Linked DNA regions of Lepisosteus oculatus. The protein of the gene in region 1 binds, or shares a complex with, the protein of each later gene. Links are inferred from orthologs where the notes say so. Each region holds a gene or a part of one and is shown in the gene's direction. Other genes may lie near its edges.

The links. The genes of interacting proteins can lie anywhere in the genome.
Region 2: med4 (region 1) and med1 share a complex: the UniProt entries of both Homo sapiens proteins name them as parts of the mediator complex. The link is inferred for Lepisosteus oculatus from reciprocal best matches to the Homo sapiens genes MED4 and MED1.
Region 3: the proteins of med4 (region 1) and med31 are in contact, whole or in part, in a cryo-EM structure (PDB 8TRH), measured with the Homo sapiens proteins. The link is inferred for Lepisosteus oculatus from reciprocal best matches to the Homo sapiens genes MED4 and MED31. Residues at the interface, in NP_054885.1 of Homo sapiens: Glu147, Tyr151, Arg154, Ile155, Asn159, Ala160, Val161, Cys162, Ala163, Pro164, Trp167, Arg173, Arg174, Pro175, Tyr176, Pro177, Met182, Leu186; in NP_057144.1 of Homo sapiens: Gln19, Glu23, Gln26, Cys27, Ala29, Asn30, Pro31, Ala64, Lys65, Tyr66, Leu67, Lys68, Tyr69, Pro70, Gln71, Asp98, Ile102, Trp105, Gln106, Tyr108, Ser109.
Region 4: med4 (region 1) and med19b share a complex: the UniProt entries of both Homo sapiens proteins name them as parts of the mediator complex. The link is inferred for Lepisosteus oculatus from reciprocal best matches to the Homo sapiens genes MED4 and MED19.

The regions. Positions count from the first base shown.
Region 1 is NC_090710.1:30,648,490-30,655,658, forward strand, and holds the start of med4 (mediator of RNA polymerase II transcription subunit 4), read left to right. Parts: upstream 1-4,162; 5' UTR 4,163-4,187; coding exon 4,188-4,258; intron 4,259-4,624; coding exon 4,625-4,691; intron 4,692-5,360; coding exon 5,361-5,531; intron 5,532-6,538; coding exon 6,539-6,596; intron 6,597-6,894; coding exon 6,895-6,981; intron 6,982-7,169. UniProt on the Homo sapiens protein: Component of the Mediator complex, a coactivator involved in the regulated transcription of nearly all RNA polymerase II-dependent genes.
Region 2 is NC_090723.1:5,850,703-5,858,653, forward strand, and holds the start of med1 (mediator of RNA polymerase II transcription subunit 1), read left to right. Parts: upstream 1-4,938; 5' UTR 4,939-5,033; coding exon 5,034-5,154; intron 5,155-6,469; coding exon 6,470-6,576; intron 6,577-7,352; coding exon 7,353-7,431; intron 7,432-7,951. Other genes in the region: cdk12 (cyclin-dependent kinase 12), read right to left, coding at 1,663-3,008. UniProt on the Homo sapiens protein: Component of the Mediator complex, a coactivator involved in the regulated transcription of nearly all RNA polymerase II-dependent genes.
Region 3 is NC_090721.1:9,979,386-9,986,927, reverse strand, and holds the start of med31 (mediator of RNA polymerase II transcription subunit 31), read left to right. Parts: upstream 1-4,529; 5' UTR 4,530-4,730; coding exon 4,731-4,752; intron 4,753-4,987; coding exon 4,988-5,062; intron 5,063-6,156; coding exon 6,157-6,253; intron 6,254-7,295; coding exon 7,296-7,488; 3' UTR 7,489-7,542. UniProt on the Homo sapiens protein: Component of the Mediator complex, a coactivator involved in the regulated transcription of nearly all RNA polymerase II-dependent genes.
Region 4 is NC_090701.1:41,770,519-41,778,317, reverse strand, and holds the start of med19b (mediator of RNA polymerase II transcription subunit 19-B), read left to right. Parts: upstream 1-4,786; 5' UTR 4,787-4,917; coding exon 4,918-5,134; intron 5,135-6,468; coding exon 6,469-6,591; intron 6,592-7,799. Other genes in the region: tmx2b (thioredoxin-related transmembrane protein 2-B), read right to left, coding at 429-542, 1,431-1,491, 2,598-2,786. UniProt on the Homo sapiens protein: Component of the Mediator complex, a coactivator involved in the regulated transcription of nearly all RNA polymerase II-dependent genes.

The DNA.
Region 1 (7,169 bases):
GTTATCAATTCAATTCAATTCAAGGTGCTTTATTAGCATGACCGATAGGTACAATCAGTGTTGCCAAAGCAAATAAAAATAATAAAATTAACATAGAACAAAACAAAAAATAGAAGTAAAATAAAATCTACAGACATGTTACAGACATTTACAACAAAGACATATTATATAATATCGACATATACTGTAGGCGGCTGGAGCATTATTGGGAGACGGACTCACTGTTCCTCAGGCTGTGACAGGAGATCACATACTGGGCTGCCAGATCAACTGAGTTCCCTCCTCCCTCTCCCAGTAGGATTGGGACCTGTTGTGGTTTTGGCAGGTGTGGGAACTCTGGGATTAGATTTCTGAATTTCGGGAAGAATGTTTCTCTAATCCCAGAGTATCTGTCACAGTGCAGTAGGAAGTGCACCTCTGTCTCTATTTCTCCCTGCTGGCAGTGGGAGCACAGCCTGTCCTCTCTGGGCAGCCAGGTCTGCCTGTGTCGCCCAGTTTCTATGGCCAGGTTGTGGTCACTGAGCCTGTACTTCGTCAGGGTCTGTTTCTGTTTGTTATTTTTTATTTTGGTCAAATATTCAGCTAGTGTGTATTGTCTGTTTAAGGTTCTGTAGCATTCCAGTTTATGTTGTGTTTGTGTGTGTGTGTCCCAGTGTGTGAGATATTGCTGTTTGATCTGTGCTGTGATGTGGTTGAGTCTGGGTTGTGGTGCTCTAGCAGTGCTGTCCTGAGGCTGGTTAGTGTTGGTGTGGCTCAGGTCGGTGAGCCTCAGGACCAGCTGGCTCAGGGGGCTCTGTTTTGGGCTCAGCTCTTGGCTCAGCAGGGCTTTGTGGTGGTAGGAATTTTGGTCACTGTTTTTTAGGTGTAGCCAATACTTTAATATTCTTTTCTGTATGTTTATCAATAGTGGGTACTGGCCTAATTCGGCCCTGCACCCGTTGTTAGGAGTTTTTCTCTGCACACGGAGGATGATTCTAGAGAGAGAGTTATCTCTCTCTCTCTCAATTCAATTCAATTTCAATTCAAGGTGCTTTATTAGCATGACCAATAGGTACAATCAGTGTTGCCAAAGCAAATAAAAATAATACAATAATAAAATCTCTCTCTCTCTGCGGGAATGAAGATAACCTCCAGGATCACGAAGCCGTTCTGGAGTCGGATGATCTGTGAATCGATTCAGCCTTTCCAGCAGCGACGATACGAGTTAGCAACCATAACGACAGAAACTAAAACCCACCCCCTTCTCTAATCAAAAGTGTTATCAATTTTAAAAAAAAATCACCATCATGAAGTCCGGGGGAATAAAAACTCGAGTTTTGAATCAAGTGCATTTATGAAGACGTGAAAACTGCTTGGAATTAAGTTAGACTTTGTACTATCAACGTTATTTTTTTCCCCAATGCAATTCCCTTGGCTACTTAAATACAAAACAGTTACTACTCTGTGAAAACTTTACCTTGCCTTGGATAAAGACGTTAGTAAACTAAAAATATGTATGTGTTTCGTCCTATATATGGGAAGACCTTTGTTTTTAGTAATTCAACATACGTTTCAGAACAGCTTTTAATCACCTCTCAAAGGTTTACAAATTAACAGCAACCCCGATTAATGAAGAACTGGTTTAGTTCTAGAGCGAAACAGTAAAAAAATCAATTGGAAGAAACACCGTAGATACGTCTGGTTTTCAAGGAGACAATTCAGATCGAGTCTTGCTCTCCCTGAAGTTAGGAATGGCGTTCTTCCTTGACTCGGGTCTGCCCTGTACTCCACGTCTTGCATCTTGTACACCAGTGACAACCAATTTCTTCCAAGAATGATTTATCTTTTATCACTGCGTCTGATTGATCTAATTTGAATGAGAGCTTTCTAAAAAGGTAAATATTTATAATCCATACTTACAAGAATGGCATATCACCCTACAACTCACAACTGGCAGCCTACTGAAGCTCAGCAGGTGTGAGCCTGGCCAGTACCTGGATGGGAGACTCCTGGGAGAAATTAAGGTTGCTGCTGGAAGAGGTGTTAGTGGGGCCAGCAGGGGGCGCTCACTCTGCGGTCCATGTGGGTCCTAATGCCCCAGTATAGTGACTGGGACACTATACAGTAAACAGGCGCCATCCTTCGGATGAGATGTAAAACCAAGGTCCTGACTTCCTGTGGTCATTAAAAATCCCAGGGTGTTTCTTGAAAAGAGTAGGGGTGTAACCCCGGCGTCCTGGCCAAATTTCCCATTGGCCCTTCCCAATCATAGCCTCCTAATAATCCCCCTCTCTGAACTGGCTTCATTACTCTGCTCTCCTCCCCACTGAGAGCTGATGTGTGGTGAGCGTTCTGGCGCACTATGGCTGCCGTCGCATCATCCAGGTGGGGATGCACATTGGCGGCGGTGGTGGAGGGGAGTCCCCATTACCTGTAAAGCACTTTGAGTGGAGTGTCCAGAAAAAGCACTATATAAGTGTAAGCAATTATTATTATTATTACAAGCATACAGACAGGACAAAGGTGAGAGATTAAATAGCACTGGCATTCGTCAACTATGGCTCTGAGATTTTCCTTCTGGTGTATTCTGCACTCATGTGTAATTGTGAAACTAGTGGAGTACCACAGGGATCTGCACTAGGATAATTACTCTTCCTATCCTATATGTATCTCAATGACCTACATTGTGGTGTAGCTAGTAAAACGGTTTGTAGTAAGGTTTGTTAGATGATATCAAATTAGGAAGATGAGCAAATCCTGTACAAGCACCTAAAAAAGAAAGAGATAAAATACAAGACCAGACAAACACCTGGCAGATGATGTTTAATGTTGGCAAGCGCAGAGTTTCTTCTGGCAAAATACCTAAGCTAAGAATACAAAATGGGAAACACAGAGAAAGAAGACACGGCATATTAAAAAGACTTACGAGTTTACGCTGACACCTCATTTATATCTTCTGTGATAAAGTAATTAAACATGTAAGCAAAATGTTAGAATAAATATTTATGATATTAAAATTAAAACAAGATGTGTTGTGTTGAATTTGCATGATGCACTAGTAAGCCTTAAATGGAATATTGTGTATAATTCTGCTCAGCACATTATATTAAGGTTGTGCTGCTCTGGCATCACTGCAGCCAGGAGCAGTCAGATACATCCCAGGGCTTCAGGGACTGTCATGCACTGACAGCCTGTTTAATCATGAACAGAGGAGACTACAATGGGACTTAATGCAAGTGTCCAGCATCCCCACAGACATCTTCAATATCTGATAAATCCAAATCCAATCCATCTAATGAATTGGTTTTCAACAAATTACTGTGGCAGAAAGAGAGCTCCTCACTGATGAGCTGTTTTCTTTGAAGCTTGGTCTTATAGTCAATGATCCAATGAAACCCCCCCAAAATTCTTGTGAGATTGGTGTGTGCAAGCAGTAGTCTACATCTGTTGTTGTGAATAAAGGGCCTGTTTTGTGCTCTTAAATGCCAAATTCTCTGATTCTCTGATTCTTTTTATTTCATTAAGAAAGATTCTGAATCTGGATTGCTCATTGGCTAGAGGGAGCTCTGTCCTAAAAGACATATTCAGAAGTGTTTCTGTGCCGGTCACTCATCTCCCTTGCTTGGTTATTTCCAAATGCCCAAGTAGTGCTCACTATACTTCAGCTATTGCCAATCCCTATGTATTGAGCCATAGTTTATATTTCTTATTATAAAAAAGCCTTGTCAGGAACAGGTTAATCACATTGAACACAGTGAAACGAGTCCTAGTTACGTGTGGTTTGTGGGGGACGTTGCAATCTATTGTAAATTAACCCCCTCCTGCACTAGTATTCTTGTATATTAATATGTATTTCATTATTGCCTCTAGAGACACGTATTTACTGTATGTGTACAAATAAGGTAAATGCGGGTAATACATACAGAGGATTTCCAGCCATAAACAAACCCTAGACCCAGCTTTTAAAAAACAAACAAACAAACAAACAAACAAACAAACAAACAAACAACAACACATAAAAAATGAAAAACAATCAGGTTTATCGTATTTAACCCCGGACGATGATCGACCCCTTGTTGTTCCCTGGTTATAAAGACATCTCTCCACTAGGTGTCACCACTGATTTTTAGTGACGACTTTTCTGTCTTGTCCGGTCTCTCTAGATTTGTTGTCTGTGTGAACATGCGCACTATGAAAGTTACTCTATCATGGCGGCTTCCGATAGATCAACTAAAGATCGGTTATTGTCTGTTTTAGACGATTTGGAGGTGTTATCCAGGTACGCTCGCTGAGAAATACAGTATTTACGCCAGAAAGACTTTACCCTGTGGACAGTAAAGTGGAACAGAAAAGGTCTGAAAGGATTTCGGGGACTCGGATGTTGGCCTGTGTAGGCTATCACAGAGCAACTGATTTTACCTGAGCTTCAATGCAGTTTGACAAACTAGACACTTTGCGTGTTAAAGGTTATGAAATGTTATATTTATTTGTCACGTTTTGTGGAAAAAAAACAACAAGAAGAAATTCTTATAAAAAGTGATATTTACATTTACTGTATAGTATCTGTATTTCTTTGTTAAGTTGCCTCGGTTATGTGCAATAGTTGTTACGATCTGCTTATGTTAACTGTATATATGAACTGCAGGGAACTGATTGAGATGCTGGCGTTGTCGAGGAATCAGAAACTGCCCCAGCCTGGAGAAGAGACTCAGGTATAACTACGTTTTCGTCTCGAGTAAACTCCTTTGGAAGGTGATCTTATTTTGTTTCAACAGCACATCATTCACTTTCAAACGAATTGTTGTAATAAAACAAAAAGCGTGCCTGCGTAAACAGCTTACATTTTAGGAGGAACAAATACTCGGATCCCTACCAATCACAGAGCCTGTCTCAGTGGAGCCGGGCTAACTTATTAAAAAACACATTTACACTACATTGAATATCTGTCAAATTATTCCAGTGGGTGGTTACACGCATATTCATAGGTTTATTCCATGCTGAAAAGAGAAGAGAGAAAACACATCTGTATGCTTGTTTAACGATGCTGACTGGTCCCTGCCGAGACCTTACAGACAGAGGTGCAGTTGTACCAAAATGGATGCATCCAGTACTTGTTTTCCATTATTTTAATTTTAGCCTAGGCTTTCTTCGAGCGAGGAGGACCTTAGGGAGCTGGTCCCTGACATACAAAAAGGTTTAGGAACAGGGATTTAAAATATACATGCTCCATGTGTGGACATAGACCCTCTTGGGGGGCCCACCTTGTTTCTGGGTAACGAGACGACTTTAGTCAAGCCGCTTCTGAGAAAGAACTGTTCGTCTCCCAGTGGAAATCCCGGCTCGGCAGTGGAGCGTGTTTAAGAGGGCGTGCTCTTGTGCAGATCCTGGAACTGCTGGTGCAGAGGGACACTGAGTTCCAGGAGCTGATGAGAGTGGCTCAGGAGCAAGGTCAGGTCCACCTGGAGATGCAGCTCCTGGAGAAAGAGGTGGAGAAGAGAGACAGCGATATCCAGCAGCTGCAGAAACAGCTGAAAGAAGCCGAGCACATACTGGTAAGCAGGGTGACTAAAACAGAGACATTTGTATTGCTATCGGACCCCTCTGCTAGGAATTTTGGCTTTGAACTGGTTTTCTTGCAATATGTATCTAGTCAACTGCTTCTTCATAGTCAAAAACAGTTTATTTAGATTACAGATATTTCTAATAGTAGCGCTGGGGCTGCATTTTTCTTTCCTCACTAATCTTGACAACAGTGCACTTGGTGAAATGTTGAGGTTTTGTTGTGAAGAAAAGTGAGAATGTAAAAACAAAGGAACAGGTAATGGGTTTTAATCCCTGCTGAAAAGAAAAGAAAAAAGAAAGGAAACAACGTTTTGGCTGTGGAGCCTTCTTCAGGTGTGAGAAAGACAGGGCAGACAGCAAAGATTAAATGGCACAGGAGAACAAAAGCTCGGAGAGGGGAGGAGGAGGCAGAGAGGCCACTCAGGAAGTGCAAAGCGGAGAGGGGTGAAGAGCTGCCTGAGAATAGAGAAGATTACACAAGAATAAGTCAGTCATTGAGAGAAGGGGAAGGTGTGAACCTAGTTTCAGGATGAGTTTCGTTTCTGTAGTCTTTCTGCTGTGGGAGTTGAGAAACCCTTCTTTGAGAAAAGAGACCGAGAGATCAGTGTGATCATGGCCGTCTGAGGCGAAATAATAAAAAAAACTATGGGCTTGGAGAAATCTTTCATCTTCACAGCCCTAACATGTTATCTGAAGCGGTCTCCTAGTCTCCTTCCGGTTTCCCCAACGTAGATAGCTGGGCCTTTTTTGCAGGAGATACAGTATAGGATGTTATCTGGGTGATCTGGAATTGACCTGAGGTGCCCTGAATGAGCGTGTTGTAGAAACAATGCCATTTTGGATAAAGTTTCCAAAAACTTCTGCAGGGAGTTTCTAGTATATAATAACACGGACTATGTAGTTGTAGTCAACTAGGTGTAGTCAAAGTATTCAAGTTTTTCCAGTCATGTGTTTAAAATAATATAGTAAGATTTATTCATTTATTCTTTCTTTTTAGGCAACTGCTGTATACCAAGCAAAGGAGAAACTGAAGTCCATAGAAAAAGCAAGAAAAGGTCAAGATTATTTTTATTTCAAAATATTGATAGGTCTTTCAGTAAGTTTCATTAATAATTTCTCAAGTTAATCAAGCATAGAAAAAATCATGAGCATGATGCACGTAAAAGAGCTGCTTTTCAAAAATGTTTCTTTTTTTTTTTTGCTGAAGATACTTTACATGGTCCTGTAGGTAAAGCACTGGTAGGAACAACCGTTCTGGGTCAGAATTTCCAAACCGATCCCTTCAAGTAGCCAGTGTGCGGATGGTACATACTGACGTAGAATGTGCTTTAATGGTGAATGTCTTTGTTTCAGGAAGCATCTCCTCCGAAGAAATTATTAAATATGCTCACAGGATCAGTGCCAGCAATGCAGTATGTGCTCCCCTCAACTGGGTGCCAGGTAAGGCTGGGTACTCTGGAGAACTTGGGTTTGGGGCTTCCCTTCCGACTGGAGCTGGGGACAGAGTCCCAGCAGTGCAGATTTTTAATTGCTTGACAGTCTGGCAAGTTAATTAATAATTAAAATTGGTTCAAAGTCCCATACAAATCTTAAATTTATGAAATCTCCAGTTTTGAAGAGGGCTGTTT
Region 2 (7,951 bases), on another chromosome or scaffold:
TGGACACCCATCCCCCGCCTGCTCTCTGTTCAAGGTTCAGTTTGAGACTCACAGACCTAAACCAGCATCTCTTTGGAGCTGGAATTTATTTTGCAACAAAGGGCAACAGGGCAGGGAGACAGACTCTACAGGTCCCCAACTTACAGGGCACAGAGTCATCCCTGTTAGGCTGGGGCTATTCCTCATTTCTCCCCACTGATACACATCGTCTGCCAAAAACAGAAAACTGGAGAAAAAGACATTAAGGCATGTGGAGCAGCGGACTGTTAAGTCACAGTTCATCTCTTTCATCACAGGGCACACATTCACAAACATACATGCACAAACTCACGCCAGGGTCATTTTTTTTACAGAAGCCAATTAACCTACCGGTATGTCTTTGGACCGTTGGAGGAAATTGCAGCCCCCAGAGGGGAGAACATACCCTCCCACACCCCCCATGCAGACTGCACCCCAGGTCTGGAATTGAGCCCCGGGCCCCAGCACTTGCAAGGCAGTGATGCTCACCACTGCCCCACCAGGCTGCCCTCAACACGAGTGCTTGAAGAAATGAATTGAGCTGACTCATTTGCATGCTTTCCATGACATGTGCAGTTTTGTTTAACAGATCTAAGCAGCTCTTTACTCAAAACAAAACTACCCCAAGTTTAGACCCTTACAGAGAATAACACTATCACAGTTTTGATTGCTGGCACTGATCAAAGGGAACTACAGCATGCCAGTCATCAATATTACAAGTTTGTTATTAGCTCTGCCTTTTAGTCAGAGTTCTTAGGACTTTTTGCACCCTTTCCCGGCTGCTTCGAGATGGAGAAAGGGCTGAAAGCATAATTTGAAAAACTGAAAAAAAACACAATCTAGATGCAACCACTGATGGCCTGCTGCCATCTTGAGCGAGCACACGACACTTTTACACGAGAAAGAGGACTGACACTGCAACACTTGGTGAGCAGAACGCTGGTCTTGCCGTTTTGCATTTTCCAGCTCTGTGCAGCACACTGCGGCCTCCGAAATTACTGAAGCGCTGTGCTGGTGCTTTCACTTACAGCCAAACAAGAAAAGTGAAAGACTGTTGCTCTGGCCTACCTCAGGAAACAGACAGCTGCTGTGGGCAAATGAGGAAGAAATTGCGCCCAGGATTACAAATCCACACTTTGCCCCCAGCCCCATACAGGGCCTTCCGAAACCTTGCGCTCCTGTGCGCAGAACGCTCTGAAGGCCCTTTTGAGCCTTCAGAAGCTACGAAAGTAGACAACACACCCTAGATTTACACATGATCAGCTCGGTATACACACTCATTTCACGTCAGTAAACTGATATACATCCGTTTGGTCTACTCTACATCCTCTTGAGAACTTAAGACACGCCAATAATATCATCAGCAGCTCTCCTGTAGGAAGGAGCCCTTTTCCCAAATATTATGAGGACCTGGCAGCCCTGATGGCAGCTTCCCCTTGGAGTTGACGGGTGGCCGGAGAGTTAGGGTCAATCTGCCCTGCATTGTGGGGCAGAGCACTGGACCTGGCAGGCCGGAGAAGGACTCAAGAGAATGGGGGTCGGATCCAACCCGAGCCTCTCACCCCCTTCTTCACCACAAATTCCAACCTGAGTTCTCGGGTCACCCGTGACCCTCACCCCCCAGAAGCGTGGCGCGGGACTCACCGTGACACCGGGCTGGCGCTGGAGGAGCGGCGGTTGCCGTAGGGGCTGACGGAAGAGCGCCTCCTGCTGGGGTAGGGGCTGCTGTCCCGCTCGTAGCTGGAGGAGCGGTGGCGGCTGCCGTAGGGGCTGTCGGAGCGCTGCCGGCTGCGGCGCCCCGAGTCCCGGTAGGGGCTGGGGCTCTGCGGCGGGGGGGCCCGCCGCCGGTGGTGGTGGTGATGGTGGTGGTAGGCGTCCTCTCCGCCGTCCGGGCCGTACCCACCGCCGGGGGGGCTGTCGTTGGCCCCCCGCTTGGGGCTGGGGGACTGCGGGGCGGCCGCCTGCTTCCTCCCGCCGCCGGCGCCGCCCCGGGACGAGGGCTTGCCCTTGGGGCTGGCCTTGTAGCTCTTGGAGGACTTGCGGCGGTCCTTCTGGGACGAGCCGCGGGACTCCCCCCGCTCCCCGCGGCGCTGTAGCTTCTCCTTGCGGGACTTGCCCGACCTGCCGCCGCCGCCGCCGCCGCCCCCGTCCTTGCTCCGCGAGGAAGAGGAGGAGGAGGCCGTGCTGGTCCCGGTCCCCAGCAGGGCCTGGGCCGCGGAGGAGGGCAGCGACGACGCCAGCTTGGCCCCCACCTCCCCCTCCAGCAGACCCAGCCTGGTGGAGCCGGGGCTGAAGGGGGCCGAGGCGGAGGCAGATGTCTTCTCCTTCCCGCTCTTCCCCGACGTCCCTTTCTCTCTGTCCCGGCTGCTCTTCTTCTTCGAGCTCCCCCCTCCTCCTCCTCCTCCACCCCCCCCACCACCCGAGTCCTTCACTTTGTGAGGGTCCTTGGACTTCTTGCGGGGGTGCCGGTGCTTGTGGCCCCGGCTCTCCCCGGACACCCCGCCGCTGCCCCCGCCCCCTTTACCGTAGTCCGAGCCGCCGTCCAGGCGCTCCCCGCCTCGCCGGTCCACCGCCGACCTCGCCGCCGGCGGGTCCGAGAAGGTGTCGGAGTCGGAGCTGATGTCGTCATACTCCACCAGCGGCTTGATGGCGCTCACGGCTGGAGGCGCCGCAGCCGCCGCCGCCGGGCCCAGGGTGGCGAACGCAGCGGCCGGGCCCTGGCCCTGGCCCAGCGCCGAGGAGGAGGAGGAGGAGGACTCGCGGCCGTGCTTGGAGGACTTGTGCCGCCGGCGCTTGGAGGAGGAGGAGGAGGAGGAAGACGACGCGATGAGCTTCCCGTCCTTCCCCGTCACGCAGCCCGCCTGGGCGCTGGAGTGCGGCGGGAGCAGGTGCTGGAAGGCCCCGCTGTTGCTGCCGGGCGGCAGTGAGACGCTGGCGCTGGGATCCGGCTTCCTCCTGGTCGACCCATGTTGTCTGTCTGAACCGGGCATCCCTCACGCTAGCAGCGGCGCTTCTCCCAAATGCGGGCCTCTGCAGCCGAGGCGATGCATTAAAGGGCGAATAGTACCTAAAAAAGCACCAGGAAAAAAAAAAAGATTCAATAAAAACAAAAATTCAGATCGTGTTCTCCGTCCCGAACGCTTAATCCGAGTTCATTCCGGCTAGGTCAGCGCGGCTTGGGTCCGGCGTTTTGGTTTTCCTTCAAAGGAAAGATTTTTTTTTTTTTACGAAGAAACAAAACGAAAAATAGACATAATAGGCGGATGAGCGTGTAGTTTCATAGCTGATTAAATCAAGCAGAGGTTTGGTTTAAATGAAGTCGTTACAATCGTGCTGTCTCTCTCCTCGTTTCTCAGTTTTACTTGTGCTGTTATTTTTTCTTTTGTAAAAACAAAAAGAAAAAAAACAACACCTCTTTTGGTTATCCCCCTCGCCCTGTAGCAGGCTTCAGGGAAGGTGCCTTGATTCCTTCAGTTTACGGTCTTGGAGTTCGGAAACAGGCATAATCCATGATGAATGGGCGATATTGTTTCACAAAACTGAAAATGAAAACTTGAACCGGTTGGTACTGTTTACATGTTCGGTTTTATATAGACAATCTTTTAATCTCTTTATATTTGATATTGGTCAGAAATGACAGTATATTCGTGTGCAGCAGATGTTCTAGTTTATTTTGAACGGCCTTGAGAGTCTAACAGGCCTGTATTGAGGGCGATGTTTGCGGATTTAGAACACCCACTGCCCCTGTTGCTAAGACGAGAGGACAGACGCCATTGTGGCTCCTTCTAGCAGGTTGAGCTTCTGTCCTCGCTCTCTCTCCCCCAAGCCGAAGCCGGAAGTCTCACTTGCTGTCAATCTTCGTCGTCACCGGGCAACAGCCTCTCCAGAGCGACGCTCCGCCCTTATCCTCTCACGGGCTGCAGTGCCACCAATTAACCTCTAGGTGGCGCGTCACGAAGAGACCGGAGAAACTCCACAGGTTGTGAAAAGTTCAAATGCACTGAGGTGCAAGTTTTTAAACGGGAACTTGTTCGCCCTTATAACAAACCATGCACAGATGTAACCAGCTCACGTGTTAATCTTTAAACGGACAGCAGAACCTCCTTGTGCTCGAAATCGTTTTATAAATTACGTAGGCTATCAATGGGTATACGTAACGTCTGCCACAACACAAAACCACGTTACTAGTAAAACACTATTTGCTTTTAGACGTCCGTAACTGATGGAACGCACAGCACAAATGTTTATTACATATAAATAATCAATTACGCAATCCATAAACACTTTGTGCTTTTAAATTAAGAAGGTACCAGAGAGAGGCGTTTTTTTAAATACGCAAACGCCGATAAAAGTCAGCTGAACTTAGATTGTACGGTACTTTCATTACATATTTATTACGCAATATTATATATATTGATGCATTATCCGTTGTGCTCTTGTCACTTAATTCTTCCTGTTCTATAGGTAAATCATTACTCTTTGAACAAAACTCTCTGCAGAACTTCTTGGCGCTTGTAACGCTCAGAAGACCAAGCACGTAACGTTTCCTAGTACGTTGTATTCTACACAACCAACACACCTGAAGAACAAATGAAAAGTTGAAACTACTTCGGACCGGAGACAGGTTTCAGCCACGTTTCTCGAGGTTGTTGGGGGATGCCCGGCCGGATCCCCAGTAAGAAACCAGACTGCATCGGATAGCACACGCACGGTATATCTTTGGATCTGCAGCTCCGCCTTTATTATTTTAGAACTAACAGCAGCAGCATCTGCAATGGCTTTCAACACAGATTAGATTTTATTTATAAAATCTGCCACGTCCTTATCGTCGCCGGGGGCTTCTTGAAGAAAAGTCCTTCAAAGCAGAAAAACGATTGATCCGCAGTTACAGCACCTCCACCCTCGTTTGCTCGGTCCGAGTCGCCTCCTGATGACGCCACAACCCCGCGCCCCCCCGCCCCCGGCAGTCTTGTCGGAAACTCTACCCTGCGCGACGGAAGATTTTTATATTGAAAATGGCGGCGGTTTCTGGGGTTGTTATATCGGGTTGTAGCCCAGCGAGAGAACTCGGGCCCGGGGCACCGACCGTTGGGCCCCCTACGATCGGGGATCGTCCCAGACCTGAGGAGGGGACAGGTAATGACGTGCTCACGGGGGAAATCGGGGGTCGACAGCAGATCGGCAGAGCTACAGTATCGCGTTCTCGCTGATCTGTTACTGTATTGCGTTGAGATCTTGAGAATATTATTTAGAAATTATGAATGGAGCGCCAGGGGTTGGACCGGAGCCAGTGAAAATCACCTTTATATACCTTTTCGCCTTTTTTCGTTTTCAAAGAAAAGAGTCATTGAATTATTGAAATTGCAAAAAAATAAATAAGACGATCTCCTCCCCCTTTATGAGTTTTTGATTTCATTTTGATGTCAGGCGTGTTTGCTTTCCATTTGGATCTACGCATATCTTGGCTGATCGCTCCTCTGAGACATACCCTTAATCATAACAGTGTCACATCGTGCTGAGGTGGTCCTGAAACCCTACCTGAAAGCTCTTTGATCTGCACTTCCATAACGCTGTAAATCGCCCTGCATGCGGAGCAGGGAGTTTTGGGGTCCGTGCCAGTGGGTTGCCGCGGCTTTTACAGCTGTATGTAGTATACCTGTTGTTCTTCCTCTGAGATAAGTTTGTCAGTTTTGTGTAGCCTTGTGTACCAAATGCCTAGCGGTGTGTGTTGCCCTGTTTCCTGTGGGAGTGCTCTGTGTGTGTGTTGCCCTGTTTCCTGTGGGAGTGCTCTGTGTGTGTGTTGCCCTTTTCCCTGTGGGAGTGCTCTGTGTGTGCGTGTGTTGCCTTTTCCCTGTGAGAGTGCTCTGTGTGTGCGTGTGTTGCCCTGTTCCCTGGGAGAGTGCTCTGTGTGTTGCCCTGTTCCCTGGGAGAGTGCTCTGTGTGTGTGTGCGCGTGTGTTGCCTTTTCCCTGTGGGAGTGCTCTGTGTGTGTGTTGCCCTGTTCCCTGTGGGAGTGCTCTGTGTGTGTGTTGCCCTGTTCCCTGTGAGAGTTCTCTGTGTGTGTGTTGCCCTGTTCCCTGTGAGAGTGCTCTGTGTTTGTGTTGCCCTGTTCCCTGTGAGAGTGCTCTGTCTGTGTGTTGCTCTGTTCCCTGTGAGAGTGCTCTGTGTGTGTGTTGCCCTGTTCCCTGTGAGAGTGCTCTGTGTGTGTGTTGCTCTGTTCCCTGTGAGAGTGCTCTTTCTGTGTGTTGCCCTGTTCCCTGTGAGAGTGCTCTGTGTGTGTGTGTGTGTGTGTGTGTGTGTGTGTGTGTGTGTTGCCCTGTTCCCTATGAGAGTGCTCTGTGTGTGTGTGTTGCCCTGTTCCCTATGAGAGTGCTCTGTGTGTGTGTGTTGCCCTGTTCCCTATGAGAGTGCTCTGTGTGTCTTCCTAACCCTGTGCCCTCTACGCCCTTCAGAGGCAGAGAAGCAGAGCAGAGTCGGTGCCCTACTGGAGAGGCTTCATGCCAAACACTGCGCCTCCCGGCCATGGCAGGAGACCAGCAAGGTGGTGCGGCAGGCTATGGTGAGTGAGGGAGAGGAGGGTGGAGCTCATAAAGGCACCAGGACATGCGGGGGGGAGTGGGGGCAGAGAGAGGGCACCGGAGCAGACCTGCCCCCTTCCTGGGAGGAAACCATGATTTCAAGTCAATCTCCAAAGAAGAGAAAGGCCAGGCTAGATGTGTGTCTTTCCCCCAGAGCTCACTGCTCAATGTGGACTGTCGCATCAATCATGTACTGAAGATTGGATCAAATATTCTCTCTGTTCATGAATTTAGATCTAAAGGGATTTATTCAGGATAGACAAACTCTTGACAACATTAGACATTCTCTTCACATTACAAAACACCAGTGCTCAAAAGATAAGAGCAATTTTGGTTAGTCTGGACGAGTATTAGTATAATTATATTATATATATTACAGTTTGAACAGTTATTACTGTTATTAGATTGTGGTTAGCCAGTTTCTTTTTGAGGCCCTCCTGGAGAAATATGGTTGTATATCTGGATATAAACTAGACGTTGAAAAAGCAAAAGTTGTATCTTAGAATTCAGATCAAATAAGAGAAAATTGTGAGAGCAGGAGCAGGGAGAGAGAAGAGGGATGGGGCAGGATGGGGAGAGCAGTGTGGGGGAGATAGAGGGCTCAGGACCCGCTGCTCTTGGGGGGGTCAGCCCGAAATGTTGGGAGGACTTGGTACAGAAGGGCGAAGGTCATGCTAGTGCAGTCAGGGGGTGTGTATTACAGGGGTATTGTGTGCATTTTAATAGGCCTTCAATCTCTCTTTCTCCCGCCACCCAGGAGAAGCGCAATGTGTTGAATGCTGGGGGACACCAGCTCCTGCTCACCTGCCTGGAGACGCTGCAGAGAGCCCTGAAAGGTGAGGGGATTGGGGTGTGGGGGAGGGCTGATTGTGTGGAGCTGATCAGGGCAGCGGTACAAGTTACCACACAGCTGGCATTGCACAGAACAGTGCCCAGAAGCGGGCCCTGGCAGGGCGTGGTGGGTCAAGCAGAGTGCACCTGTGTGAATTCCTTCATCTGCCATCTCAGAATTCCTTCTTTCCAAGCTTATGATAGTTAAAGAGTTTTGAAAAAGATGTTTATATCTCTGGAATTCTACAGAGCTGTACAGGAGGTATTCAGACTCCAAGGAAATGCAGTCCGTTAGTCACACCACACGCTGTGAAGGAGGGGACAGCCCAGCACTGGCAGACTCCCTTTACCTTCTATAGCTCTGCATCTCTTCCCAGTGAGGTCCAGGTAAAATCTGGGTGCCTGGACTGGAAAAGAACCGCTCGATGTTAGCCTTCTCCGGGCGAGAGTGGGTTTGCTATCGGGGAAGGAGGAATGGGCAGAGGTGACGAACTGATCCAGGGGTCGGGGTCGGCTGGTGTGAGG
Region 3 (7,542 bases), on another chromosome or scaffold:
GTGTTCCCAGGGAGCTTACAGGACCGATTAAACATAACTGAAAATAGTCACAAAGCAAAGGAGCCATTCAACCCTGCCCATTTGGTTGTTAGTAGCTAATTGATCTGAGCATCTCATTCAGGCATTTCTTTAAAAAAAACCCACAGGATATCAAATTCAGCATCATGGCTGAGGAGCTCGTTCCACACCCCTACCACCCTTTGTGTAAAGCGATGCCTCCCGTGCTCAGTTTTGAATGCGCCGTTTCCACTGCATGTGTCCCCTGGGTTGTGTTGCGCTGTTCTGGCTCAAGAAACGCAGACGGAGACAGACGGAGAAAGGAAAAGGAATGCCGTGTGAAGTCTGCCCCCCCCCCGTGCACGCCCAGGAAGAGCGGGTTCTGAGCTGGCGGGGGAGCGGGCAGCAGGGCAGCGGTCCGTTCGTCTCTCCTCACCTCATTAAAACCAGAAATGAGGCCCGTCTGACGATGACCCCCCACCACCCCAAGAGCAGTTGCAAATAAATGACAAAAGAACTTTGTATGAGAAAAACAACCCCGGGCAGAGCTGACAGGAGAGACTCTGAGGAAGAGGCGGGGGGTCTGTCCTTGCACAGGCGGAACGGGCCCAGGACAGAGCGCTCAGTGGCTCTCTCCCTGCGGATGCAGCCAACTGAATACATGGGTCCACGTGTAAGATGCTTTGGATAAAGGCATCAGCGAAAGAAATGAATAACGGTACGAAAAAAATGCAAATATGAATAATACAAGCATTCTCCCGTCACATCTTGTTCCCATCCGGTTTTAGAGTTCTTGGGTGCTCAATCACACAGCTGTCCCTCTGTCCCATCTCCAGCCCCCCAGTCCGGAGGGCTGCGGCGGGGGAGGTGGCGGCAGGTATCAGCCTGTTCGCTCCTACAGCAGCACTTTCTCTCCTGCACGTCAGACCCACACACACACCTCCTGTTGATTTCAGCACTTTGCGGGGAAAATTACAGAGGTGGAAACGCGGAGAGACCGTTCCGGGCCGCGTCTTTCCCAGAGACACCGAACCCTTCCCAGGCACAGGGATCCCCACGAGAATGAACCCCGTCTGTTCTCGAGCCGTCAGCAGATCCCCGACCAGACAGAGCAGGTGGGATCTCCCATTTTTTACATTTACAGTCACCCCCCAGCGATACAGTTCACAATACTGGAGCCACAGGGAGGGGAAATAGGGGAGGGGAGAGAGAGAGGGAATATATCGGAAATTCCTTTTGAAGCAAAACAAAGGCGAGGGTGTAATTAGCGTGTGGTTTTTGCACCCAATTAAACAACCGTGCTGCATACTCCTCGTGCGTCGTCTTCACTAGCCCGCGCACAGCAGACATGTTGTCATGCAATCACCCGAGTGGCGTGTGGACAGTGGCACCTACGGCACCTTCTCCGCGGCGAACCCATTGGCTTCGGGGCTGAACTACAAGGCCCCCCAGCACAGCGCATCATTAGTCACACAGCACCTCCAATCCGCCCCGACAAACAATTTTACTGCAGTAAAGCTCTTTAATTACATAATTGAAAATCGACAGGATCTATATACCATTTAAGAAGCTGGCTGGATCACCTGGGGGAGACACGGATTAGATAACTTCACATTAAAGGGCTGACTCCTCATATTAAACAATGATAGAAGGCTATGACGTATTGCAGTAGACGGTCTGTGGGATAGTTTTATATCCTGGAAGACTTCCTAATTCTCGCCCCACTCAATCCAGCCTTCGCGCGAGTGCAGTGCTCCCCCTGGCGGACAGCACGGATAAACACGTTCAAATTAGGGTTGAGTTCAAACTTCCCCTAATTGCGGTTTCTTTAGCCCAGAAAAAAAGATTACTGGCGGGGGTGGCCTATTCTACCCATCTAATTTTGTCTAAAGTACTTTTGAACAATGATAATATCGCTTGGAATGAAAAGGCGACGCAGACAAGCCGGAGTCTAGTACCCAGACGACCCGACAGGTTGGTTTGAACGGTCATTTTCTCTTGTTCAGAATTTAATTGCAGTTAAAATCAAGTTTCCCATATACAAAAAACACCATCCTCTTCTTAAATAAAGCATCAGAAATCACATCGAAACTTGCAAAGAAATGTAAAACATATTACATAGATATTGTTTTTTGCTTTTATGTTGGTTTTCTACTGATTTGGTAGTCACATGTTTGAGATTATTGACAAAAACAGGGTCCGCTGTTACTACCGCTGAAGACGGTCAGAATTTTCGCAGGAGGCGAAATCTGTTGTGATTCAGATCAATCTCTTGCCGTAAGGGAAACTTGCGTCACACGGGCGCAGCCATGACAGGCTTGTCATTACGGCACAACTCCAGGGCGCGTTTCTTGTTCTCTACCCGAATTCCTGCAGCGTCGCTCCGTATTGGCGTGAGGGAGGAGAAATGGGTGGGGTTTAGTCAGACGGTCGTCTGTGATTGGATACAGCCCGAGGATGGACAGGTGACGGAGAGCGAGGCTGGTGTCCTGATAAGGAATCTGTGCCAAACTTCCTCAATCCTCCCGAACATCCTTCTGGAATGAAAATATAAACCGGAAATTAGACTGGACAACTCCTGACGCATATTGCCTTACAAACAAGGTTTAAAAAATTACATTTAATCTTGTTCATAGGCTTTATCTTGTAACACTTTCTAAGGTCATACATGATCAAGATAATTTATGACGTGTGTTCGGTTGGAAAAGGCTGGAAAAGACATTCTGACACATTTATTTGTCATCCGCATATATACAAAGGTGTTTTGGATATACTTGCAAAACTTCATCTTTAAGAATTTCACCGTGAATGTTTAATTTAAGGAGTTTGGTATTATGGCATGATTTGCCAGATGTACTCTGGAAAAAGGAACATTTTCTTATAAATAATCTGTTAGTTATACTGGGTAGATACGCAAAACACAATAGTCCAGTTCTGTTCCCTACTTTAATGATTCTAAGATTGAACTGCAACATTACTTAAAATCCATTAGCAACCTTACAAATAACAAGGCAAAAAACGCCGATTCGATTATGTAAAGTTTTAATTTATTGTGTTCAGTTTTGTAATTACCTACGGATCGCAGTGTTTTTTTGTGTGTGTGTTTTGTTTTGTTCAGTTGTCTCTTTGTATTATTTTATGATCAATAAAAGTTTGGAAATAAAAGAGACCAACTCTCAGGAAGACTGGAAGTATCGTTAAGGATACTCCCCCACTTTCCTCTGGTAAGGGTTATAAAGCATGAATGCACTAACTTCCAGACCCAGAGACAGTTTCTTCCCGTAAACTATGAGATTACTAAACTCTGCCCCTACCACTGACTCACACTGGTGTGTGTTTTCACACTGCGTGTACTGACTAGTATTTACCTTGTGTGTTATTTAACCTTGTGGCTGGTGCTTCTACTGTTATGTGTATCTTTCGGCGTTTCCTTAATGTCTCTGCATTGGAGCATACATGCAAACATTGCACTCGTGCAGATGACCAAATAAACTGAACGGAACTGATCCACGCCACCTGTTGTGAGTGCGGACGAACTACCCCTGACGATGTTTTTGTCTTGAATTGTTATATGTACGCTTGCTTTTATTGTAATTTTTCTTATTGTTTATGCATGAATAAATAAAAAACTGCCGAACTCCACTCACTATACTGAGCTATCACACACGTAGAGCTGCAACTGGGTAACATAACAACTGTACGACATCAAATGGTGATTTTCTTATGTACAAAAATCCCAACAAAGGCAAAATCAAGTATTAATGGATAACGTGCTCAGTTTTAGGTGGCTTTTTAGTGATTAACCTATAAATGATTGTGATTTGTGCAATTTGTGTTATAAAGCTGGATTCTTCAGTCTGCATGAACGTGCACTGCGTGTGCAGAGTGCATCTTGTACTGTACAGCTTAGAAGTGCATTCTAAACCCGAGAGCAGGAGGCCCTCCTTTGCACAAAAAGGTGTTGGAGTCGGGAACAAGCTACACAACCACGGAGTTGAAGACGATACGGTTTTGTTTTTTCGAGAAACACCTGGATGAGATGAGATCCTTAGATCGATTTACAACTAACAGTAGATAGGACGAACGGTCTCCTCTTTAATACTCTTGTGCATTGCCGGCGCAGACTATTGCTTACGAATGTTACAATTTATTTTTAATTTCAAATATCAAATAAATTGTAACAAAAGAACACCGAACAGCTGGATGTGCCTGTTGATTTCTACATCTTAAAGATTCATTTTATTTGTATCTTAAAGCACAGCAAGAGAGTGCAGTGATCTCGGAGTCTGATGGAACTGAATTCTCCCACCCAGGTTCAGATATAGAGGTTGTGCTGGACACACCCACTCTCCAGCAAAACAAACCACTCAGTGTTAAAGGAACTCCAAAGCCACGCTGCTTCCCAAGTTCTGCTAATTGGGAGACGGGTCCTACGAAATCACACCCAAGATTGTCTATGCAACTGAGGGGAAAGGAATGGGGCGTGTTGCTACAGGAACTGGGGTAGGAAAAACACACTGCCGGGAGGGCGTCGCGTTGTTAGACGTCATACACGAGTTCCGGCCAAGATGGCGGATGTGCTGTGTTACGCTAAACGAAGTAGTTCATTTGAGTATTAAAACTATTCCCTCTCGACTACAAAGATTTGTTTTACAGGTTACACTGCTAAAGGCTGGGTTTGTATCTCTGAGGAGTAGCGCTTTCTCATTGAACACGAGAGTCCGCTGACTGCTATGGCGACGGCGATGGAGACAGGTTCGTACGGGTCTGTTTACTTGCGCCAGCTGAAAGTAGTGCGGTCGGGGGTATTGATTTATCTGTTGTTGTGAAAGTGGAGTGCACATCTCGTCTTTATTTGTATGCAATTTATGTCTGATATACTAAAAGGGCGTACGTCAGCGCGTTGAGGTGGATGGGGAGTGCTTCAGTATTGAATCCGTGGTTCCTGTCCCTTGGCGTGTTTGTAATGCTGTCTCTTCTTCGCCGACAGAGGAGCAGGCGAGAAACCGATTCCAGTCGGAGCTGGAGTTCGTGCAGTGTCTCGCTAACCCCAACTACCTGAACTGTGAGTCGCTCTTTCACCCTCTTAATAATAATAATAATTCCTTACGCTTATATAGCACTTTTCTGGACACTCCACTCAAACCAATTACAGGCAATGGGGATCCCCTCCACCACCACCAGCGTGCAGCCCCACCTGGATGGTGCACCAGTCCTCTCCCCACACACCAGCTCTCAGTGGGGAGGAGAGCAGAGTGATGAAGCCAGTTCAGAGATGGGGGTTATTTGGAGGCCATGACTAGTAAAGACCAGGCTGAAATTTGACCAGGACACCCCTACACATTTTAGATAGATACTTTATTGTACTCTATCTGTCAGCAGCCATATCACCCTGCAACTCACAACTGGCAGCCCACTGAAGCTAAGCAAGTGTGAGGCTGGGAATTTCTGGGAAATTGCAGAAATTTTAAAGAAAAGATTTTAAATTTTTAAAGAAAAGGGATTTCTGGGATTTTTAATGACCACAGGGAGTCAGGACCTTGGTTTTACGTCTCATCCGAAGGACGGCGCCTGTTTACAGTATAGTGTCCCTGTCGCTATACTGGGGCATTAGGACTCACACAGACCGCAGGGTGAGCGCCCCCTGCTGGCCCCACGAACACCTCGTCCAGCAGCAACCTTAGTTTTTCCCAGGAGGTCTCCCATCCAGGTACTGGCCAGGCTCACACCTGCTGAGCTCCAGTGGGGTGACAGCTGGGAGCTTCAGGGTTATTTGGCTTAAATATCATCTTAAACCTGGACTGAGCCCTGGGGGTCTGAAAAATAAACCACGGCAGCTTCTGCTCTTCTGCCTGTCTCTCATTTGCTGCAATGGAGTAACTGTTTTTAATTAGTGCTCAATTTAAACTTGCGGTACGTTATTAATTAAAATATGACCACGGACCTGGGTTCCGAGATGGAGGTCTGGGTTCTGTTCCACCCGAGCTCTCGGCTGCACAGCGGGTCTGATTCACCTCTCAACATTAACGCTTGTCTCTAGCCCAAGAGGGGTTTTATAGATAACTTTTCCTTTAGTGCATTTGAGTCATTGACAGTAAAAGAAAATAGGAACCGCGCGAGAAGGCAGTGTGATCTGACGGCTCTGTCTTGTGGTCCCAGTCCTGGCTCAGAGAGGCTACCTGCGAGAGAAGCCCTTTGTGAACTACCTGAAGTACCTGCTGTACTGGAAGGACCCGGAATACGCCAAGTACCTGAAGTGAGTGTCTGTGTCTGGCTGTGTTCAGAGGCTGTTTGGTCTCTCAACTCTATTACAAAGGAACAAGTAATAGGTTTATTCCATGCTGAAAAGGGAAGAAAGAAAACACAACGTTTCGGCTGTGGAGCCTTCTTGGCTGACACCCGAAGAAGGCTCCACAGCCGAAACGTTGTGTTTTCTTTCTTCTCAATTCAGCATGGAATAAACCTATTACTTGTTCCTTGGCAGCCTACGCATGCTGGGACCGCAGTCTCTGCATGACCAGGCTGTCTGTATTCTGTACTTGTCAGTCTGTGCCCCTCCCTCTCAGATCGGTTGATCAGATTATCCTCAGTGTAGTTACAGATCTGGCTCAGAATCTGCCCCTTAGTAAGGCAGAGTTAACACTTTAAAGTATTCTAACAGCCTGGAAGACATGAGAAATTCCAGTGCAATACTGTGGGAAGAGCAGTGGGATATTGTAGATCCTTCCTTCAGAGTTCTGGTGTTACCCACAGGTATAAACCCCAGGCCCTTCCTGTAGTCTTCGGTTAGAGTTCATTGTGTTTTCATTTTGAGGAGATCATTATTAAGTATGGGCTTGTGAAAGCAAAAGTATGGCTAGATTCTAAGTCTGTAAGTTATGGCTTTAAAATATTGTGATCTGATTGTTAAACCACTGTCTTGTGAACATGTTTAATTCTTAAGGAATAATGACATTCAAACCGAAAATACATTCTGCATGGGGATGTGAAAAAGTCAGGCACAAAGAGAGGCGCAGTCTGGCGGGCCGAGGCCCAGCCCCCTGCCTGTGGGTGATGGAAGTCAGGGGGGAAACGAACCGAAGGGCAGCTGCAGAGGTGGAGATGGGGTGGAGGAGGGATGCTAAAAGAGAAGCAGGGAAGTAATGGGCTTGCTGGGGTTTTCGGGACACAAGGAATACAAGTTAGGGCAGCAGAGATGAAGGGGGATCTGAGGGCTGTCCCTCCTCCTGAACGCTCGTTAAAAGCTGCCTTAGTGCCCCTGTGTGTGACCGTGCCCCTGTCTCCCGCTCCCTGCCCAGGTACCCCCAGAGCCTGCACATGCTGGAGCTGCTGCAGTACGAGCACTTCCGCAAGGAGCTGGTGAACGCTCAGTGCGCCAAGTTCATCGACGAGCAGCAGCTCCTGCACTGGCAGCACTACTCCCGCAAGCGCACGCGGCTGCAGCAGGCCCTGGCGGAGCAGCAGCAGCACGGCCACGCCGCGGCCAAGTGAGGCCCGCGGGCGGGGGGGGGGCCCTTGAACTGAGGAGACTCCGGGCGTCGGCCC
Region 4 (7,799 bases), on another chromosome or scaffold:
GTAGCAGAGTTAGTGTTGGTAGGTCTCCCATCATCAACATCTTTGCTGGATTAATGCCAACAACCACAATACTGTATATGCTATAATAGTAGGCGCTGTGAGCAGCATAATCAACTCGGAAGTGGAAGGTTGAGGGTTCGAATCCCAAGTGAGACGCTGTTGAGCCAGGTGCTTCACCTGAACTGCTCCAGTAAGATACACAGCAGTAAAATGGCGGCAAATAGAAGTCTCTTAGCATAAAAAACATAAGCCATATATATTACTTAGTAATAATTCCTGGAGTGATTATTCACAGCGTACAGGTCCACTGACTTGCTCCAGTTTAATAAGGATTATTGAACTGCAGTTCCCCCACCCTGCCTGTACAGAGTGAGGGGACGCTCTAGAGTATTAGAACCGGCAGTACCTACAGTAGCTATCTGACTGACCTATGCACAAAGTGAGGTACAGCAAGCCCATCCTGATGTCCAGTCTGAAGAACAGGATGACGTTGGCCACCTTACTGAACAGGAAGATGTTCCCCACGTGCTGCTCCACAGTGACTGGAGAAGAGAAAGGGTTTTAAACACAGTTAACAGGTTTAACTGCAAGTGTATAGCATATTATACCTACACACATTATACACTATATACCACGTGTATGCCCCTGCTGACACTGAATGAATGTGTATTTCAAGTGTGTGCACAGCCCAAATGTAAGAACACAGGCATTCAAAACAATTATTAGGAGGCCATGACTAGTAAGGGCCAGGGGAAAATCTGGCCAGGACGCCGGGGTAACACCCCTACTCTTTTCAAGAAACACCCCGCGGTTTTTAATGACCACAGAGAGTCAGAACCTCCGTTTTACTTCTCATCCTCTGCACTAAATGTGTATAAAGACCAGTAGTCAGGACATTGGGGTTAATGCCCCTACTCTCACTGACAGTGTCCTGGGTCTGTAATGACCAGCAGTCAGGACACCGGGGTAACACCCCTACTCTTTTCAGTCAGGACACTGGGGTCAACATCTGAATGACAGCATGTCCTACAGCATAGTGCTCCTGTTCCCCATTCTGAGGCTTGGCTTGAAAACTCTGGTCTAGAGGGAAGGGCGCCACCTACCGGTTGCCCACTGGCCATCAGTACATTATTTGGGGTTTGCATGCATCAGGACAGGGGTGTCAGACTCACTTCCTTGAGGGCCTGATGCCTTCTGGTTTTCCTACCAACCAGATAGGATGTTCCTTAAGCTGAATAATCAGCTTTTAAACAATACACTTCATTAAAGGGACAGTTCATTACAAACACCTCAGAGCCAGGCTCCACATGTTACACTTCAGCAGTTTGTGAAAGAATCAGACCCACTGCGCGCCTGAGCGCTCAGGCTGCTAGAAAGCCGGACGCGCCCGGAGCCGAGACGAGCGCCCCTGTGCGACTGGAGTGTCTTACTGGCTCTCCGGTTCTTCATCATCACGATGGCACTGAGGAACATGAGGATCTCCACTTCCCTCTGGGGGTAGAGCACACAGCACGTCAGGGCGACAGGGACAGCACACTGACACGCACCAGCCCACAGCAGCCATTGCTACCACTACCAATCGCAACACAACCAACACCCAACAGACTGCTCAGAGGGGTACGGCACACGGCACACTCTCCCACAGCACCCCACACTCACCCACGGCACCTCACATTCTCCCACTGCTCCCCACACTCTCCCACACCCACCCACGGCACCTCACATTCTCCCACTGCTCCCCACACTCCCTCCCACCCCCACCTGCACCCTCCCGCAGCTCCTCACCCTACATCACCCCAGGCCAGTGGCCGCCCTCAGCCCCCTCTCCCCCTGTGTGTACAGTAAACACATCAGGGCCAACGGACACACCAGCTGCCTGCTGCCCCAGTGCTGTGTGCAAAACAGTACAGGGGTCTCCAGCCCTGGGCCTTGAGAGATCCTGTCCAGTTAGTCCAGGGGTCCCGAGCACTGGGCCTTGAGAGATCCTGTCCAGTTAGTCCAGGGGTCCCGAGCACTGGGCCTTGAGAGATCCTGTCCAGTTAGTCCAGGGGTCCCAAGCACTGGGCCTTGAGAGATCCTGTCCAGTTAGTACAGGGGTCCCGAGCACTGGTCCTGGAGAGATCCTGTCCAGTTAGTCCAGGGGTCCCGAGCACTGGGCCTGGAGAGATCCTGTCCAGTTAGTACAGGGGTCCCGAGCACTGGTCCTGGAGAGATCCTGTCCAGTTAGTACAGGGGTCCCGAGCACTGGTCCTGGAGAGATCCTGTCCAGTTAGTCCAGGGGTCCCGAGCACTGGGCCTGGAGAGATCCTGTCCAGTTAGTACAGGGGTCCCGAGCACTGGGCCTGGAGAGACCCGGTCCAGTTGGTACAGGGTTCCCACCCCTGGCCCTGGACAGACCCGGTCCAGTTAGTTCAGGGTCCCCAGCCCTGGTTCTCCTCGTCCTCTCCAACACTCTCCCTGTCCTAACAGTCCCCTCGCCCTCTGTCTCCCCACTTGCCCTATGACCAACACCTGAGCTCACTGGCGAGTGTCTCTCTCTACCAGCCGGTCAGTCGCGGAGGTACCGGCCTGCTCTAAAATCACAACCCTGGACTCACCCAGTCGAAATCGCAGGAGTTGCCGTCCTCTCTGGTGGTAGACAAGTGCTCACAGATCCCCGGCGTCTTTCGCACCAGCAAGAAAATCACCGACAAAAACACTGACGCCACATAATACGGCTTGAGCAGCCACTTGTACACCCGGGGAAGGTGATACAGAAACGCCAGGAGGGGAGTAAGTAACGCCATTTTTATAACTCTCAAACAAGAGTGCCACTATATATATGCGGCGGATTGCTGGTGCAGACGAACATGCACACAGAGGTCTGTCCGCCGACAAATAATAACAGTCTGCGGTCGCAGGGAAGATTTAAAGGGGAAGTGAAGAGAGGTCACTGCGGACAAACAACAGACATAAAGCCACGCCTCTTGCGTAATCGGATTGGTTAGCTGTGGAGACATCTTGGATATTATTGGATATTACAGCTGTCACTCTTCTTTGCAAAGGGATAGGACTTTTTCGGTTGATCGGGCATTGTGACATACACTGTAAGGCCCTTGTAAAAGGGAAGTTTTTGAATGAGCTTTATTGATACGTAAAATTAGCCTTTTATTGTACCGTAAAGATGAGAAACTGTACGCCTCTAAATTTGGTGTCGGCTGTTAACATAAACAGTCAAATGAACACAAAAGCTTAAACCTAAATAAACAATTCTATACACTTATATACGAGTATTATTAGTGTCCAGAAAAGCGCTATATAATAATGCGCATTATAATAATAATGTATGATTATTGTTATTATATAGCACTTTTCTGGACACTCCACTCAGAGCTCTTTACGGGTAATGAGGATCCCTACCAGCACCAGTGTGCAGCCCCACCTAGATGATGCTCCAGTCTGCTCACACACACCAGCTCTCAGTGTGGAGGAGAGCAGAGTGATGAAGCCAGTTCAGAGATGGGGATTATAAGGAGGCCATGACTGATAAAGGCCAAGGGGAAATCTGGCCAGGACACCGGGGTAACACCCCTACTCTTTTTGAGTTTTTGTGATGACCACAGAGAGTCAGGACCTGAAGGACACCGCCTTTTTACAGTGTAGTGACCCCGCCATTATACTGGGGCATTAGAACCCACACAGACTGCAGGGTGAGCGCCCCCTGCTGGCCCCACTAACACCTCTTCCAGCAGCAACCTTAGGTTTCCCAGGAGTCTCCCCTCCAGGTACTGACCAGGCTCACACCTGCTGAGCTCCAGGGGGCTCCAGGGGGCTGCCAGCTGGGAGCCGCAGGTGCTGGTGTTTTGACACATAGTCAAAATACATGGTTTGACACCTACTGTCAAAATACCAAATAAGAAGTGTTATACACAAAAATACCAAAGAAATTACTGTAAAAAACAAAAGGCGATTCAGACATGACCGCAGCTCTGTGCTGAGACAGAGAAAGGGAAAGTGGCTGAGTCCCTGAGGGAGCACTGCGGTTCGGGCAGCAATGGAGGAGAACGAGGAGAAGGAACAGCTGAGTGACCAGCAGGACAGGAGATGGGTGGGTGGGCAGTAGGACAAAACCTTCACAAATCAATTCTGTTTGTGTGACACCTGTGACCCTTTCCACAAAGTGGTGAGAGTGTCAAACAACAGTCTAGCTGTTGAAGCCGATACAGTAACGTCTTGCAAGACACAGCTGGATGTAATCCTCCAGTTAGGAGAGGAGACGCTCCTTTACACAAAGGGTGGTGGGAGTGTGGAGCAAGCACCCCAGCCGCGTTGTTGTTGAAGCCAGTGCAGTGACAGCACTGGAGGAGATCCTCCAATCAGGACGGGAGCTTCTTCTTTACACAAAGGGGGGTGGGAGTTAAGAAACAGCTGGATGAGATCCTTGGATCAGTTGTCCACCTAGTGCCAAACAGGATAGACGGGGCAGATGGACTACTCTCAGCTGTTTAAGAATATTACATTTCTCCATAATGGATAATAGTGAAGAATACAGGTACTTAAGTGGAAGAACAACGCCATTAATAATATTCGCCTGCTCACTGATGTGACACTGAATTTAGACCGGTGATTCCTAAATGCTAATTAATTATACAGTATTTAAATAAAAACGAGAATGCGTCACTAAACGTCTGCACCATTGTAATTGCGTCTGGTGTGCAAATTTGATCTGAATCATGCAACAGCGGTTCACTGCTTCATTTTGAGTCTCCTATATATGAAGAAAGACGGTAGCGCCCAGTTTGCTTTGTCGTACGGAAGCTCACGGATTCAGAGCAAAACAACGCGAAGCACGGTGCGGTGGTTTGGTAGTATTTGTGTTAAAATTGCCAAGATTTATTTATTTTTTTTATTTCTTAAAATTAACATTTTTCTGCATCGATGACGGAAATTTTCTCTTTGTTTGGACAAAGCGACTCTCAAGGTCCCCCCGGCTCCTCGACGCTGGGCTACGGGCCGGGTAAACAGCCGGGGCCGCCACCCCAGAATCAGGTGTCCATGGCGGTACAGATGCCACCACAGCTCGGGGATGAGGGGCCTCCTCTTCGGAAGCCCGCAGCGATGAATGAGCCTTTTTATTTACTTCGGGAACTTCCAGGTAAACAGACTGCGCTCGCCCACATAGTCATCTTCGATAAGACTTTGCGTTATAGACGAGGAAGTAAAATATTCAGTATCATTCAATAGTTTCTTTTTTAAGTCGGTAAAAGTATTCAGAGATGTATTGTACAGGGCACAGCAGTGCAGAGCTTGAGAGGATGAATATAGTGTCCGAACTGTGCTTGAAACTAAATACGTCTCGTTGCTGTTCCGTTTCAGTTGTAACTTTGTGTGCTATTGTCCTGTAAGTTAGTGTATTAATCCCTCTCTCAGTGCACTGTTAATGTACTATAGTGTTCAGTCAGTGTGTCTGCACTGTATTAACCCCTCTCTCTCAGTGCAGTGTTAATGTACTGGAGTGTCCAGTCAGTGTGTCTGGACTGTATTAACCCCTCTCTCTCAGTGCAGTGTTAATGTCCTGGAGTGTCCAGTCAGTGTGTCTGGACTGTATTAACCCCTCTCTCTCAGTGCAGTGTTAATGTCCTGTAGTGTCCAGTCAGTGTGTCTGGACTGTATTGACCCCTCTCTCTCAGTGCAGTGTTAATGTCCTGTAGTGTCCAGTCAGTGTGTCTGGACTGTATTAACCCCTCTCTCTCAGTGCAGTGTTCATGTCCTGTAGTGTCCAGTCAGTGTGTCTGGACTGTATTAACCCCTCTCTCTCAGTGCAGTGTTAATGTCCTGTAGTGTCCAGTCAGTGTGTCTGGACTGTATTAACCCCTCTCTCTCAGTGCAGTGTTCATGTCCTGTAGTGTCCAGTCAGTGTGTCTGGACTGTATTAACCCCTCTCTCTCAGTGCAGTGTTAATGTCCTGTAGTGTCCAGTCAGTGTGTCTGTACTGTATTAACCCATCTCTCTCAGTGCAGTGTTAATGTCCTGTAGTGTCCAGTCAGTGGGTCTGGACTGTATTAACCCCTCTCTCTCAGTGCAGTGTTAATGTCCTGTAGTGTCCAGTCAGTGGGTCTGGACTGTATTAACCCCTCTCTCTCAGTGCAGTGTTAATGTCCTGTAGTGTCCAGTCAGTGGGTCTGGACTGTATTAACCCCTCTCTCTCAGTGCAGTGTTAATGTCCTGTAGTGTCCAGTCAGTGTGTCTGGACTGTATTAACCCCTCTCTCTCAGTGCAGTGTTAATGTACTGTAGTGTCCAGTCAGTGTGTCTGGACTGTATTAACCCCTCTCTCTCAGTGCAGTGTTAATGTCCTGTAGTGTCCAGTCAGTGTGTCTGGACTGTATTAACCCCTCTCTCTCAGTGCAGTGTTCATGTACTGTAGTGTGCAGTCAGGCAGTGTTCCTGTAGTTTCTAATACAGCTATTATCTTTTGCCCTTCTTTCAGTGGGGAATGAACTGACTGGGAACACTAACCTGATCACCCATTATAACCTGGAGCACGCCTACAACAAGTTCTGTGGGAAGAAGTTGAAGGAGAAGCTCAGCAATTTCCTGCCTGAGTTGCCTGGTAAGACGTGGCTGGGGTTACATCACTCTTGCTGTCTTGCCTGTCCTTTCCTCTGTCTCTCTGCTCTCGGTTCAGGCCGAGAGACTCTCCGGACGTCACCATGTGCACAGCATCCTCCCTCAGTCATGGCAGAAAACTGGAGTATTTCAGTACATGTAGGCGAAGAGAGGCGTATTACAGATGAGTAATTATGTCCTATTTATTACTATTGTCATGGGTAAAATCCACTAGTTTTGCCTTTTAAATTGAGGTTACACAGTGGAAAACCCCACGGTGCTGTTCTGGACGCCTCGTCCCCTGCTGGCTGAAGAGCCCCTGATTTTGGAAATGTTTCTTTCCCGTCGTGCTTCCTTGAAACCGCATTACAACGTCTTCCCAGCCCTGGAGAGACATCTTGACAACTTCAGTGTGAGAAAGAACAAGCGCTGCAATTAAATCTGCTGACTGGCAGGAGCAATCTGTCCAGTTTTGGATAATAATGATTCCTGACACTTAAACAGCGCTGTTATGGACACTTGGTTCAAAGCGCTTTATAGATAATGAGGATCCCCTCCACCACCACCAGTCTGCTCACCACACACCAGCTCTCAGTGGGGGGGAGAGCAGAGTGATGAAGCCAGTTCAGAGATGGGGATTATTAGGAGGCCATGATGGGTAAAGGCCAGGGGGAAATTTGGCCAGGACACTGGGTAACACCCCTACTCTTTTCAAGAAACACCCTGGGACATTTAATGACCACAGAGAGTCAGGACCTCGGTTTTACATCTCACCCGAAGGACAGCGCCTGTTTACAATCTAGCGTCCCCGTCACTATACTGGGGCATGAGGACCCACACAGACTGCAGGGTGAGCGCCCCCTGCTGGCCCCACTAACACCTCTTCCAGCAGCAGCCTTAGCTTTCCCAGGAGTCTCCCCTCCAGGTACTGACCAGGCTCCCTACTGCTGGGCTCCAGGGGGCTGCCAGCTGGAAGCTGCAGGGTGATATGGCTGCTGTCCATTATACTGTGTGCCCTCCCTGTGCGGTCAGATATCCGTCTCTTGTATGGCATGCCGGAGGAGGCAGGTGTCTGAGCTTTCCAAGAGACTGGTCCGCCAAGCGCATTGAGCGCCAGAGGGTACCAGTCTGAGGGGATCTGATGCTGCAGGATGAGGGCCGGGATGTTTCAGGTGTCAGGAGAGGCTGACACCCCTCTCTCTCAGTGCAGTG